Arabidopsis thaliana: one gene and its partners. The protein of the gene in region 1 interacts with the protein of each later gene in a pairwise test. Each region holds a gene or a part of one and is shown in the gene's direction. Other genes may lie near its edges.

What was found.
Region 2: the proteins of SHH2 (region 1) and AT5G59790 interact in a two-hybrid assay, tested with the Arabidopsis thaliana proteins (one large-scale study listed by BioGRID).
Region 3: the proteins of SHH2 (region 1) and ATXR5 interact in a two-hybrid assay, tested with the Arabidopsis thaliana proteins (one large-scale study listed by BioGRID).
Region 4: the proteins of SHH2 (region 1) and AT3G07120 interact in a two-hybrid assay, tested with the Arabidopsis thaliana proteins (one large-scale study listed by BioGRID).

Annotation. Positions count from the first base shown.
Region 1 is NC_003074.8:6,309,796-6,315,088, reverse strand, and holds SHH2 (DNA-BINDING TRANSCRIPTION FACTOR 2), read left to right. Parts: upstream 1-1,682; 5' UTR 1,683-1,907; coding exon 1,908-1,961; intron 1,962-2,313; coding exon 2,314-2,399; intron 2,400-2,495; coding exon 2,496-2,541; intron 2,542-2,640; coding exon 2,641-2,842; intron 2,843-3,007; coding exon 3,008-3,083; intron 3,084-3,199; coding exon 3,200-3,251; intron 3,252-3,334; coding exon 3,335-3,478; intron 3,479-3,562; coding exon 3,563-3,682; intron 3,683-3,817; coding exon 3,818-4,087; 3' UTR 4,088-4,370; downstream 4,371-5,293. Other genes in the region: EMB1865 (CRS1 / YhbY (CRM) domain-containing protein), read right to left, coding at 1-192, 597-1,517; ATSYTF (C2 domain-containing protein), read right to left, coding at 4,833-5,293.
Region 2 is NC_003076.8:24,088,413-24,093,844, forward strand, and holds AT5G59790 (UPSTREAM OF FLC protein (DUF966)), read left to right. Parts: upstream 1-2,232; 5' UTR 2,233-2,537; coding exon 2,538-2,772; intron 2,773-3,009; coding exon 3,010-3,079; intron 3,080-3,158; coding exon 3,159-4,010; coding exon of another isoform or gene 4,011-4,014; exon of another isoform or gene 4,015-4,153; intron 4,154-4,277; coding exon 4,278-4,392; 3' UTR 4,393-4,756; downstream 4,757-5,432. UniProt on the Arabidopsis thaliana protein: SOSEKI proteins (SOK1-5) locally interpret global polarity cues and can influence cell division orientation to coordinate cell polarization relative to body axes.
Region 3 is NC_003076.8:3,038,395-3,043,197, reverse strand, and holds ATXR5 (TRITHORAX-RELATED PROTEIN 5), read left to right. Parts: upstream 1-2,036; 5' UTR 2,037-2,227; coding exon 2,228-2,582; intron 2,583-2,682; coding exon 2,683-2,763; intron 2,764-3,027; coding exon 3,028-3,257; intron 3,258-3,352; coding exon 3,353-3,453; intron 3,454-3,539; coding exon 3,540-3,752; intron 3,753-3,834; coding exon 3,835-3,994; 3' UTR 3,995-4,218; downstream 4,219-4,803. Other genes in the region: AT5G09800 (ARM repeat superfamily protein), read left to right, coding at 1-75; AT5G09780 (Transcriptional factor B3 family protein), read left to right, coding at 4,714-4,803. UniProt on the Arabidopsis thaliana protein: Histone methyltransferase that specifically monomethylates 'Lys-27' of histone H3 (H3K27me1). Has much higher activity on nucleosomes containing H3.1 than H3.3.
Region 4 is NC_003074.8:2,252,457-2,256,333, forward strand, and holds AT3G07120 (RING/U-box superfamily protein), read left to right. Parts: upstream 1-2,022; 5' UTR 2,023-2,103; coding exon 2,104-3,186; 3' UTR 3,187-3,286; downstream 3,287-3,877. Other genes in the region: AT3G07110 (Ribosomal protein L13 family protein), read left to right, coding at 169-285, 389-476, 730-876; PAP15 (purple acid phosphatase 15), read right to left, coding at 3,307-3,441, 3,525-3,877.

The DNA of each region.
Region 1 (5,293 bases):
TACCAAAGGTGCACTTTGGTTATCTTTGGCATTTGTTGCTTCATCGCCAGCAGAAGATACATCTGGGACAAAAAGAGTCTCTTTAGGACCGGCCATTTGATTAGAGATCACAGGAGGTCCTTTATAGTCAAGTCCACGATAAACCACCATTACACTTCCGGCCCTCCATATCACCATTCCACCAGTTCGACGCTGCCCATTAGAGTAATTCAATCAGTTTTTTTTTAAACCTAAAGTTAAGACATGCATCTCCTGCACAGTCTTGTTACTCAAAGAATTCTAACAGCATGCTCAGCTCCATCCACTCTAGTTAATCAACACCTCAAATTCACCTTATTCACAACTATATAATCGTTCCCAAGAAAGATCTAACGTTTTTCACAAATTTCCTACTGTTATTATAAAAGCTTTATAACCATTCTATTTCAGAGCTTAGGTACTTCAGAGTCTCTTACTATCCTATAAAGATCATGTCACTTCCGCAAAGCTTATCCCCAATAGATAATGAAAACCGCTCTCTCTTGGAATAATCTCGCACCTCAAATTTCGCTAACCTACTGTTCTAATCAATGAAGTATTCAAGAGAACTAACGAACCTCAACAATCTCATGGGCCGTCTTCATGTCACGAGCAAGCACTTCGTGGAACTTTAGCCTCACAAGCTCTTCTTTCCTCCAAGTATCATAAATCTTCTCCATCACTGCCTGCGTTAGCCCAGCTTTTGGTATATTGATCCTAACCCTCAGATACATTCCATCCCTCCTTAACCGCCGTAACTCAGAATCCTCAACGGTGAGCTCCGCCAGTGATGGAGCTCTAGCTCTCCTCTTCTGCATCACCGCCACTCCTCCTTCTCCTACTACTCTCTCCGCCGCCTGCTCTTCCTCATTTTTCTCCCATGGCAATAATACCTCATCCTCTTCCTCACTCTCTTCTCCCTCAGCAAGCATCATATCAGGTCTCACCCACTCTCTCTTCAACAAATCCCCCAATCTCTCTTCTCCAGTCACCGGCTTCACATCTCCGCCGTTAATTCCACCTCCCTCGTCATCTTCCACATCGTCCTCATCATCCGAACCTAATCCTAAATTCCGTAGCCGAAGAACAATCCTCTCAATCGCGTTTTGTCCTTTATCCTTCTCCAAATACCGAAGTTTCGCTTCCGCTTCCTCCTCCGCAGACCGAATTCTATCTCCGCCGTTGTTTTCACCACCTTTCTTCCCGGCATGATCACCGCCAGCTCCGGAGGATGACGGAGGCCACTTATCTATCCAAGGAGGAGTAGGTTTATGATTACGTTGATCTAATCGACGATTGTTATTGCTCCTGTTGTTGCTACGCTCGCTTGTACGCAGCGAAGAGAATGGCCGAACAATTTGTTGACGCGAGGGTTTCACACCCAACGAATAGAAGAGCAATGCGTGAAGCGAAGGAGAGGAACAATAGCGAGAGCTAGAGGTCAGAGGAAGAGAGCTTCTCAGTGGCATTTCCGTAAAATTAAGTGGAGCCAAAGCCATTGACGACACTAAGAAATTTTTTTGGAAAAAAAAGCTTCAGCGAAGTGTCTTCTTCGCCATCGTTTTGGATACTGAGAAATAAGTTTCAGGCGGATAAGCTGGATTTACTCGACCATACGGATAAGATTTTTGTATCGGTTTTAGGAAAATGGGCCTTTAATGGGTTTTAAAAGCCCATTACTACATGTTAAGTTTAAAAAAATTACACAGGTGAAAAGTTATATAAGCGACGGAGTCGGGTCTGAGTAAAACCGGTTTCGTTGTCGTTGGGTCACCGGCCGTACTAGAGAGATTCACCGTGAATTCGAATATTAAGTGAGAGAAGCTCCGATTGATTTCACTTTCTGCCGCCAATTTTTGTTTTTTCTTCGGTGAGACGAAGAAGATACCATGGGTCGACCTCCCAGTAATGGCGGTCCGGCGTTTCGATTTATCCTGCCTGAGGTTTATCTCGATTCTTTGTAATGTGTTGCTTTCACGGATTTTGAGCTCCCAGAGCTGAAAAATCTGATTTTTGTGTCGGTTTTGTTCCTTAGGATTTAGGTCTTCTTTTTGGGTTCATGATAGGGTTTAGATCCTGAAGTCCAATTGAATTTTTGTAATTAGCTAGTAGAAACTTGAAGACAATTCGATGTATGTTCTGAAATCCATTGGCTTTACTTTATTAAGTAATGTTTAAGAGTTTAGATTTGATAATACATAAGTTTTTCTATCTATCTGTTGTTCTATGGTTTTGTGACTTCTTTTGAAGAGGTTTTATCTTGTTTGTTATAGCTAATCTTCAATTGTTATGAAGGTAACGGAGATGGAAGCAATTTTGCTACAGCATAATACAGCAATGCCAGGTCGACATATTCTTGAAGCTCTTGCTGATAAGTTTAGGTATTTTACTTGTTGTTGCTCAATTCCTTGGCCTGAAAGTGATTTTGTGTCTTTATCATCTAAAATGTGGTTACTTTTTGTTATCTGTTGTCTCAGTGAATCACCTGAGCGGAAGGGGAAAGTTGTTGTGCAGTTCAAGCAAGTACTGGCTTTTTCCTTCTTGATTCTTAAGTTTTATCAGACAGAGTCTGTTGGGTTTGCTTTTAAAAGTTAATGGGAATGTTGTTTTAATGCATCACAGATCTGGAACTGGTTTCAAAATAGGCGATATGCTTTACGAGCAAGGGGAAACAAAGCTCCTGGGAAGCTAAATGTATCTTCCATGCCGCGTATGGATTTACCAAATCAGATGAGAAGTGTGATTCAACCATTATCAGTTCCTAAAACCACTCATATGACTGGAAATTTACCCGGCATGACGCCTGCCCCTTCTGGTAGTTTAGGTGCTTTATTTATTCTACTCTCAGTAAAATAGGTTGAGAAGGTTATTTATTGGAATAGGTTTCATTGGTTTTTTCAGTTTTAGTTTTTTCTCCATAAGTCTAGATCAGTATGGCTGATATTGCACAGATGCCATTTTCGTAACTGTTTACTGCTTTTCCTCATAGTTCCCGGTGTCATGAGGAGTGGTTCAGACAACTCTTACTTGGAATTTGAAGCCAAATCTGCCAGGGATGGTGCATGGTGATTCCCTTGCATTCAATCTTCAGTATTTTTTTTGCTGACTTATGATACTTTGTAACAATATCATTACATTCCACTGGTTTTCTCTGATATGTAACTCTCTTGCTTACTTACAGGTATGATGTGCAAGCTTTCCTAGCTCATAGAAACTTGGAGATTGGTGATCCGGTAATTCCTAACCAACCTCTTGTTGACTTATTTGTTCCCCTTTTTTGTTTTGCTAACAACAATCTTTCTGTTGGGTATTTCAGGAAGTGCAGGTTCGATTTGCGGGTTTCGAAGTTGAAGAAGATGAATGGATAAATGTCAAAAAGCATGTAAGACAACGGTCTCTCCCATGTGAAGCATCAGAATGTGTTGCAGTTCTTGCTGGAGATCTCGTCCTTTGTTTCCAGGTTTAGAACTTCGCTCTCTAAGCATTTAGTGATAGGTGTCATGTTAGTTTATCCCTGACTAGAACTATGTTATAACATCTTCAGGAAGGAAAAGATCAAGCTCTTTACTTTGACGCCATTGTTCTTGACGCACAGAGAAGAAGACATGATGTCAGAGGTTGTCGTTGTAGGTTCTTGGTGCGTTACAGCCACGACCAGTCCGAGGTTGGACGATCATCTCTCTCTCTCTCTCTCTATCCCTTGCGGTTTTATTTACCCGTCAGCTCCATTTCATGGTTTAGACCATAAAGCAAAACCCTCCTCACTCACCTATTTTGGATTTCTTTTCCGTTATCCCAGCAGGAAATCGTTCCCTTGAGGAAGATTTGTCGGCGGCCCGAGACAGATTACAGGCTACAACAACTTCACAACGCCGTAAACGATTTGGCTAACTCAAATCAGCATCAGATACCCGCTCTAGATGCGGCTGCAAAAACCCCTCTGTCACTACCCGGAGCTACAGTTCCCATTGTTGCACCCGAGTCAAAAGATCCGAGCCTGAGTGCCACTCCAGCCACTTTGGTTCAGCCTAGCTCCAATGCAGCTACTGTTCCCGCTGGTTCAGCCTAGGCCATGTAATTTCTATCCCCGTTTGTAACAGCCATTTTTCACAGTTACTAGTAGAGGTTAACTTGGGATCATATGCATTGTACTCTCACACAATGAATTAGTCATCTAAAGCTGTATCATGCCATGTTACTTGATCCTTCATGTATGATGGAATATTTATGGTTTAGTCCGGTTTATTCATCATCTGTTGATGGTCACCGGTTTTTTACTCTTTTGAACAAACATGCTCGAATCATGTGGATTTATTCTTTTCAAGGCTTAAGTTTACAAGTTAGGAATCTTACCTCGAGTCATTTAGCTTTACAACATTTGTGGGGATGAGAAATTAACCAATTATTAATCTGAAAAATATCTCACTGTGCTGAGGAGACTAGATAACACTTGAGGTCAAAAGAACTATTTTGCTTCTGTAAATGACTGATCAGCCTAGACACAGAACAACAGTTTTACAAACAATTACAACAGTTTTTATTGTTACAGAATAACAAAGGGAATAATAAGAAACTTACAGATTTGATATGTTACATATCATATGTATCTAACTTTGTAACAAGGGCTCAACTCTCTCTGAACATTTTATCCAATGCCCCTACATATCTATCTATATACATCATAGATGATTGTTTGATCGGGAAAAACAAGTGACTACATTGGTGCGGGTAATCTCCGGTTATAGGAGGATCCTGTCCCCGAACCCGAGCCTGATCGAGATGGGGAATGAGACGGGGCTTGAACTGGGGACGAGTTAAGAATCTCGAGACGGGGCTTGAGCTGGGGATGAGTTAAGAATCTCCTTACCAAGGTCTTTGATCTTGTTGATAAGCAGCGATTGCTCTGTCTGAAGCTGGAGCAAATACTGTTCTTGTTCGTCCTCCAAACTTTCCAGCTCTTCTAAAGCTTCAGCAAGACCTTCAAGATCTCCATCGTCAATCAAATTCTGAAACTTTATCATCACCTGCTTCATCTGGTTGGACAGTAACAGAGCTTTGTTAAACGGTGTGCCAGGACCTGCGCTGGCGCGTCTCTGAATCTCCGTGACTTTCCTCGTGACTCTGACATGGACCTCCCCGTGTTTCACTCCTTGGAGAATTATCCACTTATCGGCAGTCTCATTTGGCTTTAACCCTTGGTACTCCACAACGCAGTTACCGATGCTTGAAGTCGGAAGCAGAGTGTTATAGTCTTTCACATGTAGCTCCAAGGAGC
Region 2 (5,432 bases), on another chromosome or scaffold:
GTAAAAATTATTAACTTAATAGAGTATATATCTTATAAATTTATAAGTTCTGAAGTTTTCGTGGTTTCTTTTCTTTCTTCATTTATTAGCCCAATGAACCTGTCATACTATAACGATTAATAGAGAGCAATTTTTTTTTTGAAAAAAGGGTTTGAGGCAAATATTTCGTTCCATTATAATTCAGTTTCCAAAATCTTTTTACATCCTCGATTGGGAATAAGCTTGGTATCTTGTTTGACACTTCACTTACCAGGGAACTGGTGTTTGGGGCTAGCTAGAGTAACAATAAATGGAAGAAATAAGAATGTATTGGATGTATCAAAACAGTCAAAATGTGGATAAATAAGCAATATGTATTATGTATATGTTTGAACCCCCACGTGAAATGGAAATAGAAGGGGTCATGGGTGACTTTTATTATTTGGCCGTTAAGTTGGACGACCGACCGCATTTTTGTCAGCTTTCATATTCGTCACCTCCCTAAAGCACAAAAAAAAAACTTTGTAATTCGAAGTAATATTTCCTACAACTAAATTATTAATGCTTCCTAAGATTATCTAAAATAACAACCAACTGACATGAAAAAAAAAAATCAAAAAGAATAAACACACATGAATTTCTAAATTGATGTCAAATGATGCATCAATGGTTCTATTGATCTATTAGAGTTCTTTTTTTTCTTTGGTCGTATGATTACCATTTAGAGCCATAAAGTGTACTTATTATCCAAATTCATTGAAGAACATAAAATGACAAGAAAAAAAAAACAAAATCCGAAGAAAAACAAATGTGGTATGTTTGTGTATTAATAAGCGAAACCTATTGATATCTCTCAGTCATAGCAGGAGAGTCGTCGGATGAGTGGAAGAGAATATCTGGATTTTATGAGCGTATCTATGTCCAGTCACCGTATACATTTACATTTTGCAGGTGATGAGATCAACTTCTTAAATTTGATCTCAACCGTTCATCACAAAATCTCTTCAAAGGACCACAATTATCTCGAGTGTCCGTGAACTCCTGTCATGATACCTCATGAAAAGTAAACAAACAAAAAAAGTCAAACTATAACCTTTAAGACATAATCATTCAAATGAAAAGGGCATCCAAATAACAAAAATAAAATTGGATTTATTTCTTGTCAACAAGTTCTTTTCTATTAAATTCATTTGAGCCCCGCATAAGAAAACGTAGGTGGAACAATCAATTCGTGGTGAATATTAACATATCTATTATAATTATCTATTGTAAATTTGTGACCAAAACGTTATAAATAGCCCAAGTTATCATTAAACTGTTTTATACTAATAAGCAAGCTTACTAATTAACGTTAAAGTCTAAATTTTTATGCCTACCGTGTTTTACTCCGTAAACACTTTTTTTTTATTACTTTACAGACTTACGAAATGTGTGACACATGGCAAAGGCCCGAGTAAAACAAGTTTATGAAACGGACATAACATTTAAAATCATCGGTTTCATATTTCGTAGTCAAAGTTAGGTATGAAGAGAAACTACGTGGACTCGTTTAGTCAACTTGATCACCATTTTAAAAATATTTACTCCTTTCATTTATTGTACGCAAATCTTACTTACATATAAAAATTTTAGACACGAAACGACGTCGCGCTTGACTCAATGTTTGTATTAGTGTAATAAATTAGTTTTTTTTATATTTTTGTTGTTATTCGTAAACTATACATAATTCAGATTAGTTTGGTTTATTACTTTATTCTATCCTTCTTTCTTCTTTGGGGTAAAAGGCTCGTACGAATACGCAAAATGAATATTGATCTCCATATACAAACATTTTATTTCGTATTACTATATGTAACTTAGAAAATTATAAAACTGACAGGAATTCAAACGGAACAGAAGTTTATAAGATCATTTACTTGATGATATTTTGATCAAAATAGAGTATATGAAAATACAGAAACTTCCAACTGACTTACACAAAAATATATACCAATATTTAACAATAAATAGACCAAAATGGCATTATTATCCAATTCGTTTTGAAAAATTGAGCGTTATTCTATTGAATACCTAAAGTATAGTCTAGTTCAAAAAAAAAAAAGAACTTAATAAGAATCTCTACCAATCTTATAAAATTTTCAAAATTTGAAAACATACTCCATAAAAAGCCAGAAAATAATTCAATTAGTCATGGCCGAATTTAAATAAAATTGACTTTGGTTGGAAATGCTTTTTCTACTGGCGCAAGTAAGAGCCGATACATGTTTATATCAGAAAAGCCAGAAGAGAGAGAGATTGAGAGCAAAGTTTCATTTGTTGTGTAGCCCTTTGTCTCTCGCATCCTCATTTTTCAAAATCTCACTCTCTCTTTCCTCTCTGCTTTCATTTGCTTTCTATAAATCCAAACTCTTAAACAAAAGATTTTGTCTTTCCATCAACATCAACTCCCTCATAAACTCCCACAAAGACTCTCACTTTAAAACTCCTTCACTACTTCGTGTTCTTCGTCTCTTTTTCTTTTTTTCTTTCACTTTTCCATAAGCAAAGAAACAAAAAGGATGAGTTCAAGAGTGTTCAGAGCAACACCAGATAACAACTATTTGGTCCCCAGGAGATCCAAAGACCAACAAGACACCAGTCCCGACCGTAACCGAATCTGGTCTGAGCCTCGTCTTAAACCCGTCGTTAACCGGAAAGTCCCAGTCGTCTATTATCTCTGCCGGAATGGTCAGCTTGACCATCCTCATTTCATCGAAGTCACTCTCTCTTCCCACGATGGTCTTTATCTCAAAGGTAATAATAAATCAACCCAAAAACTGATGAAAACGCTTTTTCAAGAAAGTAGCTTTTTGAGTTCAAAAGGTTTTCAAACTCTCTGTTCTCTTTGGCTTTTTACTCTTTATTATTTCTGAAACATAACAGTGAAAAAGGCGGCAAGTTTTCGAATTGTATCTTTATTTCAAAATCAAGAACTTCATTGAGCAACTAAAAAAGTTTAAAACTTTAATTTGGTTTTTTCCAAATTCTCAGATGTGATAAACCGCTTGAATGATCTAAGAGGGAAAGGCATGGCAAGTCTCTACTCTTGGTCTTCGAAACGGTAAACGATTCTCCTCCACCGTCGGATCTCTATAAAGCCTCTTCCTTTTAAAATCTCTTGACATTTTTTTATTGTTCAGGAGCTACAAAAATGGATTTGTCTGGCACGATTTATCGGAGGACGATTTCATCTTCCCTGTTCAAGGTCAAGAATATGTTCTCAAAGGCTCTGAGGTTCTTGATTCTTGTCTTATCTCAAACCCAAGAAGCCTCCTCGAAACGTCGTCGTTTAGAGACCCAAGATCTTTAAATCCAGATAAAAACTCCGGCGATGATATCCCGGCGGTGATAAATCGACGGAGGAACCAGTCTTGGAGCTCTATCGATCTCAGCGAGTACAAAGTGTACAAAGCAACCGAGTCAAGCGCCGAGTCAACTCAAAGACTCGCTGCGGACGCTTCTACTCAGACTGACGATAGACGACGGAGGAGAAGACCGGCGAAAGAGGAAATAGAAGAGGTGAAAAGTCCGGCGAGTTATGAGAATCAGAGTACAGAGCTGAGCAGAGACGAGATATCTCCTCCACCGTCGGATTCAAGTCCCGAGACATTAGAGAATCTGATCAAAGCCGATGGACGGCTGATATTGCGTCCTAGCGAAAGCAGCACCGATCATCGGACGGTCGAGAGTTTATCCAGCGGAAGAATGAGAGCTTCGGCTGTGTTAATGCAGCTGATATCGTGTGGTACGATGTCGTTTAAAGAATGTGGGCCTGTTTTGTTGAAAGATCAAGGGCTGGCGTTGAACGGGCGTAGCGGGTGTACGATAACGCGAGGAGCAGAGGATAATGGTGAGGAGAGGGTAGATAAGGAATTAAAGAGTTTTGGAAGGGTACAATTGGAAGATAAGGAGTATTTTAGCGGCAGTTTGATTGAGACCAAGAAGGAGCTTGTTCCTGCTTTGAAAAGATCTTCTTCTTACAATGCTGACAGGTAAAAAAATAAAACATCAAGCAGTTCGATTTCTCTTTAGATGAAACGGCACGTAGTTCTATTTTAACTTTTATGAATTTACCCGTACATTGGCAATTATTGGTTATGGTGTGTTGAACTGTTGATTGAAAGAGCTGAAAATGGTAAAGTTTGTAGAAGTACATTTTGGGGTGTCTTTCAAACGTCTTCTCAATTTTTAAAAGTTCTAATAGTTTTTTTTAATGAAATGAAAGGTTATAATAATTGATATTTGATAAATTTTATTAGGTGTTCAAGAATGGGACCAACGACGGAGAAGGATGAGGAAGAAGCGGTTCGAGCTAAGTGCATTCCGAGAAAACCAAAGCCGGTGGCTAAAAGGAACAATGGTGGGCAGCAGTAACAAAAACGGCACGATGAGTCTAACAAGCTTATTTTGGGTTTAAGTAGAAGAGAAAAGTAGAATAGGGAATGATGAGTTTGTAAAGCATTGTGAATTGTGTAGGTAAACTATAACAATTCCTTTGCATGCTAAAAAAATTAAGAGTTAACATGATGGGTGAATATATAATATATAATGTTGTAGTCTGAGCCTAGGTGTCTTTTGAGGTTAATTTCAATCTGGTTTTCTTTTATAACCCCAATATTACTTTATCGTAGTGATTGGGAACCTAAATTACAAATTTCAGTTAGTTTTGACCATTTTTCATACTTTTGGGGTTTCATTGATAGCTCCTTTCAGTTTAGAGTAAAATATCAAATGATCATAGGAAGCTTCTTTTTCCAACATGCATAGTAGTAGTACTACTAGTAACCATAGAAATTAAGGTGTAGATATTTACGATTTTGGACCAAATACATAAAGAACAACAAAAATATATAGATTTGTAGGGAAAACGCCCTCCAACAAATTGACTTGGCGTGATTAGTTTACAGAAATTACCAGAAATACATCGAAAACATTTATTTATATACTATTGAATACTCCATTGAAATGTGGTAAAGTGATAGTTTTCCTTGAAAGTGTAAATAGCTTAGAGTCAATGTTGGGGTGGTACCTTGAGGCTACAAATTATTCAGGGAAAAGTCTCTATGCCCTTTAATTCTGGCCTATTTGGCTTTTGTGGCGTCAACTCCAATATCAATTTGCAGCACGTACACAATATTTTAAAAATAATCGTACCAAAAAGAAATTTCAATAACCAACAACAATGTTGTCTTTTGACTTTGAAATCTTAGAAGTTTCCACTTACCCATTTCTAGAAGTCTTAAATAGCACTGTTATTCAAAATCTTTTTCATTGTACATCATTAAACTCTATGCAAAAGGAGAAATACATTATAAATTCCCACAATCTGCATTCATTAGTATGGAAACCAGACTTTTAAGAATTTGGTTTATTTTGTCAAAGTTCCACATCAAAAAAGGAATTAAATATAGAAT
Region 3 (4,803 bases), on another chromosome or scaffold:
AAGGTGTTCAAGGTGAACTCAAGATCTTGCCTTTCGGTATACGAAACCAAAACGACACATATTATGCCGTTTTGATTATCCCCCCTCCGTATTAACTTCTTTAGGGATTATTACTTGTTGGTAAAAAAAATTCAAGTTGTAAGGAAAGAGATTTTTTGGAAGGTGAATGGAATTGTTATCACGGCCAATGCCATTAGAACTTTGAGAATAAATTGCAATGTTCTTTAGTACTAGTATCATTGCAATGTTGATACTCTAAACCAGAATTTTATGTTTGGACTTGGCAAAATCGTATTAAAAGTAAAGCTATCAATATGCTCTATCAAGGGAGATGTTGTCTTTGTATCTAAAACAAACTGAATCTTGATTGATTGAGCAGTCAAAAACAAAATTGGATTTAAAAGATTACAAGAAGTGGATTTGGCATTTGGAGGAACGTTAGGATAAGGAAGGAGGTCTTTGGTGAGTTGCAATTTCTTGTCAACATCAACCTTAGTACCAATTTCCACTTTCATTACTTGAAGAAATTCACTTTCCGACAGAACAGCCTCACTTGTTCGACTTCTCTAAGATTCCCTCTACACCCGTATAACTCCAACACCTTCAACGTATTTCCATCAATGCTATACCCACAAGTACTTACACACTGAAAACCCTGAAACAACGGATAGAAAAGAAAAGAACACACAGTAAGTGAAACTCCGAGATTAAATTTATAATTGAGAAAGAGAAAAAGAGATCATATTATACATACAAACCTTGAGGATCAAAGTTTCTAGATTGGGAGAGCTTTTTATCAGAGTCCAAAGAACTTTCCAACCTTTTTTCGTCTTAGACTCAAACGATAGTTTAACAAGGTTTTTAAACAAGGGAAATTCATTACTACGCCAATAATCGAAGCAATGACGCATCATCTACAACACACAAGCAAACTGGTCATGAATGAAACACAAACAAATTGGTCAAGCATGAATGTAACAAGATACATGGAGAAGAGAGAGACATCATACTTTAACGGTAGTAGAAGCAAGGTCAAGAATGTTTTTCATATTCCTCATATTCATAGGGACAAAACTCATAAGGCATAGAAAGATCGATGCGGGCTTCTCGAAGGGAATCCATTGTGATGGACCAGTAATAGTCTTATTTCTTTGATTTTTTTGGAATACTATGACTTAAACAGTATTAGTATAAGCAAAACTTACATGGCGAGCATATATGAATATCTTGAAGCATCCACCGATGCAAGACTTAAGTTTTCATCCTTGTGAAGAAGTGCAACAACCTTAATAAAGGACTTAGCCACAAAATTACCTAGCATACACCCCGGTTCAGAAAATATGATAAGAAAGTTTTGCTCTCATCGTCAAGAATATATCAAACAACCATTTCACTTGTTCCAATTATGTATATTATTCTTTATAGTCTATACCATAACTATTTCATTAACGCTAACACCGCAATTTCTTATTAATTAAAAACCTTGAAAAAAATAGAGAAAACTATTCATATATAAAATTATAAGATAAAAATTTACAATTGAAAGATATTATATATGTATATAAAATTATGAAAATCAATATGGCGAAAAATTCTTAAATCGGAAACAGAAAATTATGTTAAACCATAAGACATAATTTATTAAATTTTGTATTTTATAGATTCAGATTTATGTAATATTACATTGTTGGTCAAACCAGAACACTTTGGTTTAGCTTGTCAAATAAAGAACTTGAGCCTCCAATGAGGCGGACCGACTGTTGGGCTTGGCGTTGGGGTGGCTCAGTTGACGAAATTGACGTTTACTGTGTTTGTATTGAGCCCACCAACATATATTTTTTTTCAATTGAAAGATATCTATTTTTGTAATTACGTTTGTATAGTATAGTTAATACTGTATTAATTTTTATATCAATCCCTAGTAAATTAAATAAGTAAAATTTAGTTAAGAAATTTAGTAACAATTAAAAGGCTTTAATGGTTGTAAATTTATTAGTATCACTTACAATGTTTAAACCTTTTAAGACATACCAGTAATTTTGAATTTGTCAAAGGTCAAAAAAACAAAAGAGCCGATAAAGAAGAGTCTCAAAGGAAGAATCCCAAATTACACTCCAGGTGATGCGCACATCAGTTTTCGTGCGCACACGCGGCGGTGCACATTAGCCCCAACCAATCAAAATCATATATCCCGTTCTCCGGCGACTCTTCGTCGTGAGCTTCCGTCATGGCCACATGGAACGCATCCTCCCCTGCGGCGTCTCCTTGCTCATCGAGGCGACGAACGAAAGCTCCAGCGAGACGCCCTTCCTCCGAATCTCCACCACCGAGGAAGATGAAATCAATGGCTGAGATAATGGCGAAATCTGTCCCTGTGGTTGAACAAGAAGAAGAAGAAGACGAAGACAGCTACAGTAACGTCACCTGCGAGAAATGTGGTTCTGGAGAAGGAGACGATGAGCTTCTTCTCTGTGACAAATGCGATAGAGGCTTTCACATGAAATGCCTTAGACCCATTGTTGTTCGTGTCCCCATTGGAACTTGGCTTTGTGTCGATTGTTCCGACCAACGACCTGTAAGAAGTATGGATTTTTTGTTTCTTCGCTTTTAAATTTCCTAATTTTCTTGTGTTCTTTGTTTAATAAAAAAATGGATTTTTCTCTTGTCCGGTGAAATGTTTAGGGTTATCTCAGAAGAAGATTTTACATTTCTTTCGGATTGAGAAGCATACTCATCAAACAGACAAATTGGAATTGAGTCAAGGTGCGATTTTTGTTTTTGGATTTCATGATATGATCATAAAGTTCTTGAGTTGATGAATCTGACGAGATGTTTCACTTGATTAAATAGTTAGATGAATATGAAATAGCTTAACTTTGGCCTATTATATGCTTGAAATTTTGTTGCACCTTATGTAGGGTTAATAAGCATTGATGAGAACTTATACATATCATATACATAGATCATAGATGCTTCAGGATTAAACTAATAACAAGTGTTTGAGATTGAGATTTCTTTGTTTTGAAGAAGAAACTAGAAAGCGGAGACGATCTTGCTCTTTGACAGTGAAGAAAAGAAGGAGAAAACTCTTACCTTTGGTTCCATCAGAAGATCCTGATCAGAGGCTTGCACAAATGGGAACACTTGCTTCTGCATTAACGGCATTGGGTATCAAATACAGCGATGGTTTAAATTATGTTCCCGGAATGGCTCCTCGGTCTGCAAATCAATCCAAGTTAGAGAAAGGTGGGATGCAGGTAATAAACAAAAACAATCTTTCAGCCATTTATCCATAACTCTCTTATTTTAAGTTACTTCCTTGATTGTTTATCTCGGTTTTTACTTTTCGCAGGTGCTATGCAAAGAAGATTTAGAGACATTGGAACAATGTCAATCTATGTATAGACGAGGAGAATGCCCTCCTCTCGTTGTGGTATTTGATCCGCTTGAAGGGTATCTCTCTCTATTCCTTCGATCAACCTTCCCATAATGACAAAGTGGAGTTGTAAACATGTTCTTTGGTTATTCCGTTTGTACAGTTACACAGTTGAAGCAGATGGTCCTATTAAGGACTTAACATTCATAGCTGAATATACAGGGGATGTTGATTACTTGAAAAACCGAGAAAAAGACGATTGTGACAGCATCATGACTCTCCTTTTATCAGAAGATCCTTCAAAGACTCTTGTTATCTGTCCAGACAAGTTTGGAAACATATCTCGCTTCATTAATGGCATTAACAATCACAATCCGTAAGCAACAAATTCAAAATTGTTTTCCCCCCACTAAACTGGTTTATAACATTGAATCATCACATCACACTGATTGTTGCAGGGTTGCTAAGAAGAAGCAGAACTGCAAATGCGTGAGGTATAGCATAAACGGCGAATGTCGAGTTCTTCTAGTGGCTACACGCGATATATCGAAAGGGGAAAGGCTCTATTATGACTACAATGGTTATGAACATGAGTATCCTACTCATCACTTCCTCTGATCTTTCAATTCTAACAGTTCTACAGAGTCTCTAGATCAGATGTTCTTTTTGTTGCCATATTACAGGTCAATTATAAATGTAGGGCTGCTGAATATATGGCCTTTAATTATGAAGTTAGCGGTAGAATAATTGGATTTGGAATGACATTACAGAGATTAAGATGTGGCAAATGTCAATTGCTGAACTTTTGTTTGATATCAAATGAAATCCTAACCTTTTTCTTATATGTTCTTGGAGACAACTTCACCACCTTAAGTGGTTGCCAAATAAGTTATAATTTCTTTTATACTCTTCTTCATAAATTTATCAAAATGAAGAACTAATCCAATACAGTCATTACCTAAACAGAAAAGTATAATTACAGTACTTGCCTAGTGTCGTACTTCTTATTTCCAGTCACCGAAATGTATTAACGCCAAAAGAGATTCATCTGTTATGCATAATAATCGCATGCTATGAATTAAATGAACACATCCAAAAAGGATGAAGTCACAATTGTACTACAGTTTCAGTATTGAGAGGAAAGCTTTTTTCACTTTGACCACTTTGATTGAATCATATCTTTGAAATTTTAAGTGGTGCTTTGCTACATATTCAACGGCTCAACAAGACAGAGAGAAAAATATTACGAGAGGAGATAGAGAGTGAGAGAGACGAGCAAGTTGAAGGAGCAAAACTTGTAGGTGAGAGCTTGAATCAGAACATTTCAAAGGAGAGAGATGGCAAGTAACCCTGATTTTCTTTGGTGCAAAGAAGAGAGGAAGCAGGAAAGCTTCTTCAAAGTTCTTAAGCGTTCCGACATGTCTTCA
Region 4 (3,877 bases), 4.1 Mb from region 1:
GCGCATATGAACTCTTATTTCATTGAAAATTGCTCTAGGATTGGAATCATACTAAAGTAGAGAATCCACTTTGATGTTTTTGTAGTTGTACAATGTGTAGTTTTTGTTTTTTGTTTGAGAAAATGTGCCAAATCCGATGTTGAATTGTTGTTTTTGTTTGTGTGGCAGTATGATTCCACACAAGACTAAGCGTGGAGCTAATGCACTTGCCCGCTTGAAGGTCTTTGAAGGAGTTCCTACTCCATATGACAAGATCAAGAGGATGGTCGTTCCTGATGCTCTCAAGTTTGTCCTTTTACCCTTTCATTTTCATTTTTTTTCAGTTTCCTTCATTTATACTTACAAGTAGCTACAGTCTCTGAAACTTTGATTCTTCCTTCTTGATCAGGGTCTTGAGGCTGCAGGCTGGACACAAATACTGTCTGTTGGGTCGCCTTTCTTCTGAAGTCGGGTGGAACCACTACGACACCATCAAGGTATGCTTCACTTCACCTTTAGTTTCTCTTGTGTACTGTTCACTTTTACTGATGTGATGCTTTCTGTACCTAAGCTGATTTGAACATCGTCATGAAAAGCTTTTAAGAACATAAGTTCCTGTCATGCGTGTATTATAGCAATAATATGCATACATCACATAACTGTACTGTTTTAGGATATCTTTAGATTGGATCATGTTTTAGTTAGAAGAATGGATCATAAGCTAATGAATGTGTGTTTGATGAAAATGAGCAGGAGCTGGAGAACAAGAGAAAGGAAAGAGCTCAAGCTGTTTATGAGAGAAAGAAGCAACTTAGCAAACTCAGAGCTAAGGCCGAGAAGGTTGCTGAAGAGAAGCTTGGATCTCAATTGGATGTTCTTGCACCCGTCAAGTACTGAATTCAATCAGTTTATCGTATTTGAATGTTTTTGCAAGTTTTGCTCAGACATTATACTATTATATTACGAGGTTTTGTTGTATGCGATTTTGACTTAGTTTATTTCTTGAATTCGACTTTACTTAGTTTATTTCTTGAATTCGTCTTTTGTCATGCGCCTCCTCCAAAACGTTTCGTGATTTATTTTTCCTCTGCATATATCATCCTCTGTAATCTGTATCATGCCGAAGTCTTAGAATCTCGTAGATTTTCCTTTTGGCAAATACTTAAAGAGCTATGTCACATTGAAGTTTGGATGTGATAAATTTGTTTCGTGGGCCATGGAAAAAAAGGAAAAAGTAAACGTCAACAGCAGGGTTCGAACCTGCGCGGGCGAAGCCCAACAGATTTCAAGTCTGTCTCCTTAACCACTCGGACATATTGACTGTTTGTTTAATGAACTGAGATATTACTAAATATACTTATAAACTTTGTACCATTCATGGATTCACATTCAAAACTATAAGTACTTTTTGTTTTGTGCCAAACAAAAAGAATCAATTTTAATTTGCACACTCAAATATTAAGTGAGTAGTGGCAAAGTGTTAAAAATTAGTATGATGAGCAGAGAGAAGCACCCAAAATGTGTCAAGCCAAATAAGGTTTCAAAATCAGGTATTGCATGATCACCATGGTCCATGGCTCTAATCATCCGAAATAATCCTCTAAGAAGTTCTGTTCCTCACAAATATGCAACCCACGATATATTGTTCTTATTTCTTGGATATATGTTCATAAATTCTCTATCACTTCTCTACTTTTCTTGCCCAACCATATGTACAAGTGTTGCGACCATCTCCACAAACCTAATTAAAACTGGTCCTTCTGTTATAAAAAGTTGAATTACATTTTGATCATCAAAATTAAAATATTGAAATAGAATTTTCAACTTTCCTCGAAAAGATCATAGAGTAATCCTTAATTTAGATAATTCTTTTTCACCTTAAGACTCGTTCTTCCTTACTCTTTCTAACCATTCCAAAACACTTTTACCCACAAAATTTTCTTTCAATTTAAGAAGGTAAATGAAAAAAGAAAGCAAAAGTTTAAATGATTAAAAGGTTAAAACACAATCCCAAATTTTCTACCACTTTTTTCTCATTTTTCTGAATTCTTTCATTAAGCAAATCCAATGTTTTCGACTCTCTAAATTCAATGCACGAGGTAACATTTCGATGCATGGAGTTAAATGTCAGCGTTAAAGAGCCGTAGTAACTCGTTAGCCGGACTAAGTCTAGACGCTGTGCTTGGCGGCGAGATCCTTATAGAACCGCCATCTCTACCGTCGCCACCACCTTTACCATCAAAATCTCTTGTACCGCACCGTCCAACAAGCCAAACCCTTTTTGATATCATACGTGAGGAATACGCCAAAGAAGGGCACAAAGATCGGACCACGTGGCAGATTTTCCGTGAGAAACTCCGTCTTAAACGAACCGGTTCTGCTTGGACCTCGTCTCTTCATATCCCTGCTTCGGATATCCTTATCCCTAATCCCAAACACATTGGAACAGCGTTCCGGTCTCACTCCGCCGGTTTAAACATCCGAGATCTGGTTCACGCTATACCGATGTCAGATCCACCTGGTTCTTCAGGACGCGCTATGTTCACGCGCGGATCTTCAATGCGGGTCGGGTCGAGTAAAAACCCGGACGATTCGCCTGACATCAGCGTTCTTGAAGATGGGCCACCGTCTAGGAGTTTTAAGCCGCAGTTATCACGGCACGATTCCGTTAGAGATCACAGCGAAGGCGAAGAAAACAACAGACGACGTCATCCGATCGTCACGTTCGTGGAAGAGAGACAAATGTCGGCGAGAGAAGCGGTTGCTGCTCAAGAAGCGGCGGAAGCTGAAGCGGCGGCGGCTGGAGGAAGCGAAGATGAAGACGACGATGACGAAGAGGATGATTCAGGAGAAACAGAGGAGATGAAATCATCTTCAGCTTCTGAGCCGAAACAGACGATGTCTCTGATGGATCTGTTGGAAGAAACAGATCGACAAATGGGATTAACAGGATCGAGATACGCCATGGATGAAGATGAAGAGTACGAAGAAGACGAAGAAGATGAGAACAACGAGGAAGAAGGAGATAGTCATGGAGGAGGAGAAGGAGAGCTTAGTTGCTGCGTTTGCATGGTGAAAATAAAAGGCGCTTCTTTTACACCTTGTGGTCACACGTTTTGTAAGCTCTGTTCTAAAGAGCTTATGGCTCAGAAAGGTCACTGTCCTGTTTGCAGCAGCTTCGTTCTCGAGTTCCTTGAGATCTTTTAGAAACAAATTTTGATACTTTTTGTTTATTTTTGGAGAAATTTTGAAACTTTTATTTTTCTTGGGAGAAACTGTTACATGATCAAAGTCCCAAAAATTTTATTAGACCATCTCTGTTTGATCTTAGCAATGGTTAACAAGGCGGTGGTGAAGCGGACATCGATCAGGTTGTCTCACAATATAAATCTGATCTCCGACTTCACTGCTCGAGTCTTGATTCCTATACCATGTCCATAGTGCCCATGTCTCGTTCTTCATCTGCATAATGATTAATCTTTTTAGTTATAAACTTAAGGCTAAACTCTGTTTTGATGCGTTAAGGAGTTAACTAAAAACAGTACCTCTAGGATTCCATGGCCAAAGCTGCTTTCTCTCAGGGCACTATAATCAGGTTGCCGATCCCAACAGAACTTATCAGACGGCGTGAAGTTCCACGCGCAAAACCCACCCATGACTGGATCGGGCGTGGTTAACGGCTCTGGACATTTACCGGGGTCATCTGCATGCTCGATCGCCATCTTTTCACGGTTACCTCCATCACCAATCACAATGTAAACTGGACCACATGGGTCCAGTTCGTAATTGTATACTCTGTTCGACCGTTCATAAGCATGCACCTGGAAATAAGTTTTCACAAAAGAAAAAACATAACGGTCCATCATATCAAATCGAAAGGCAAAGAAAGATAAGTGAC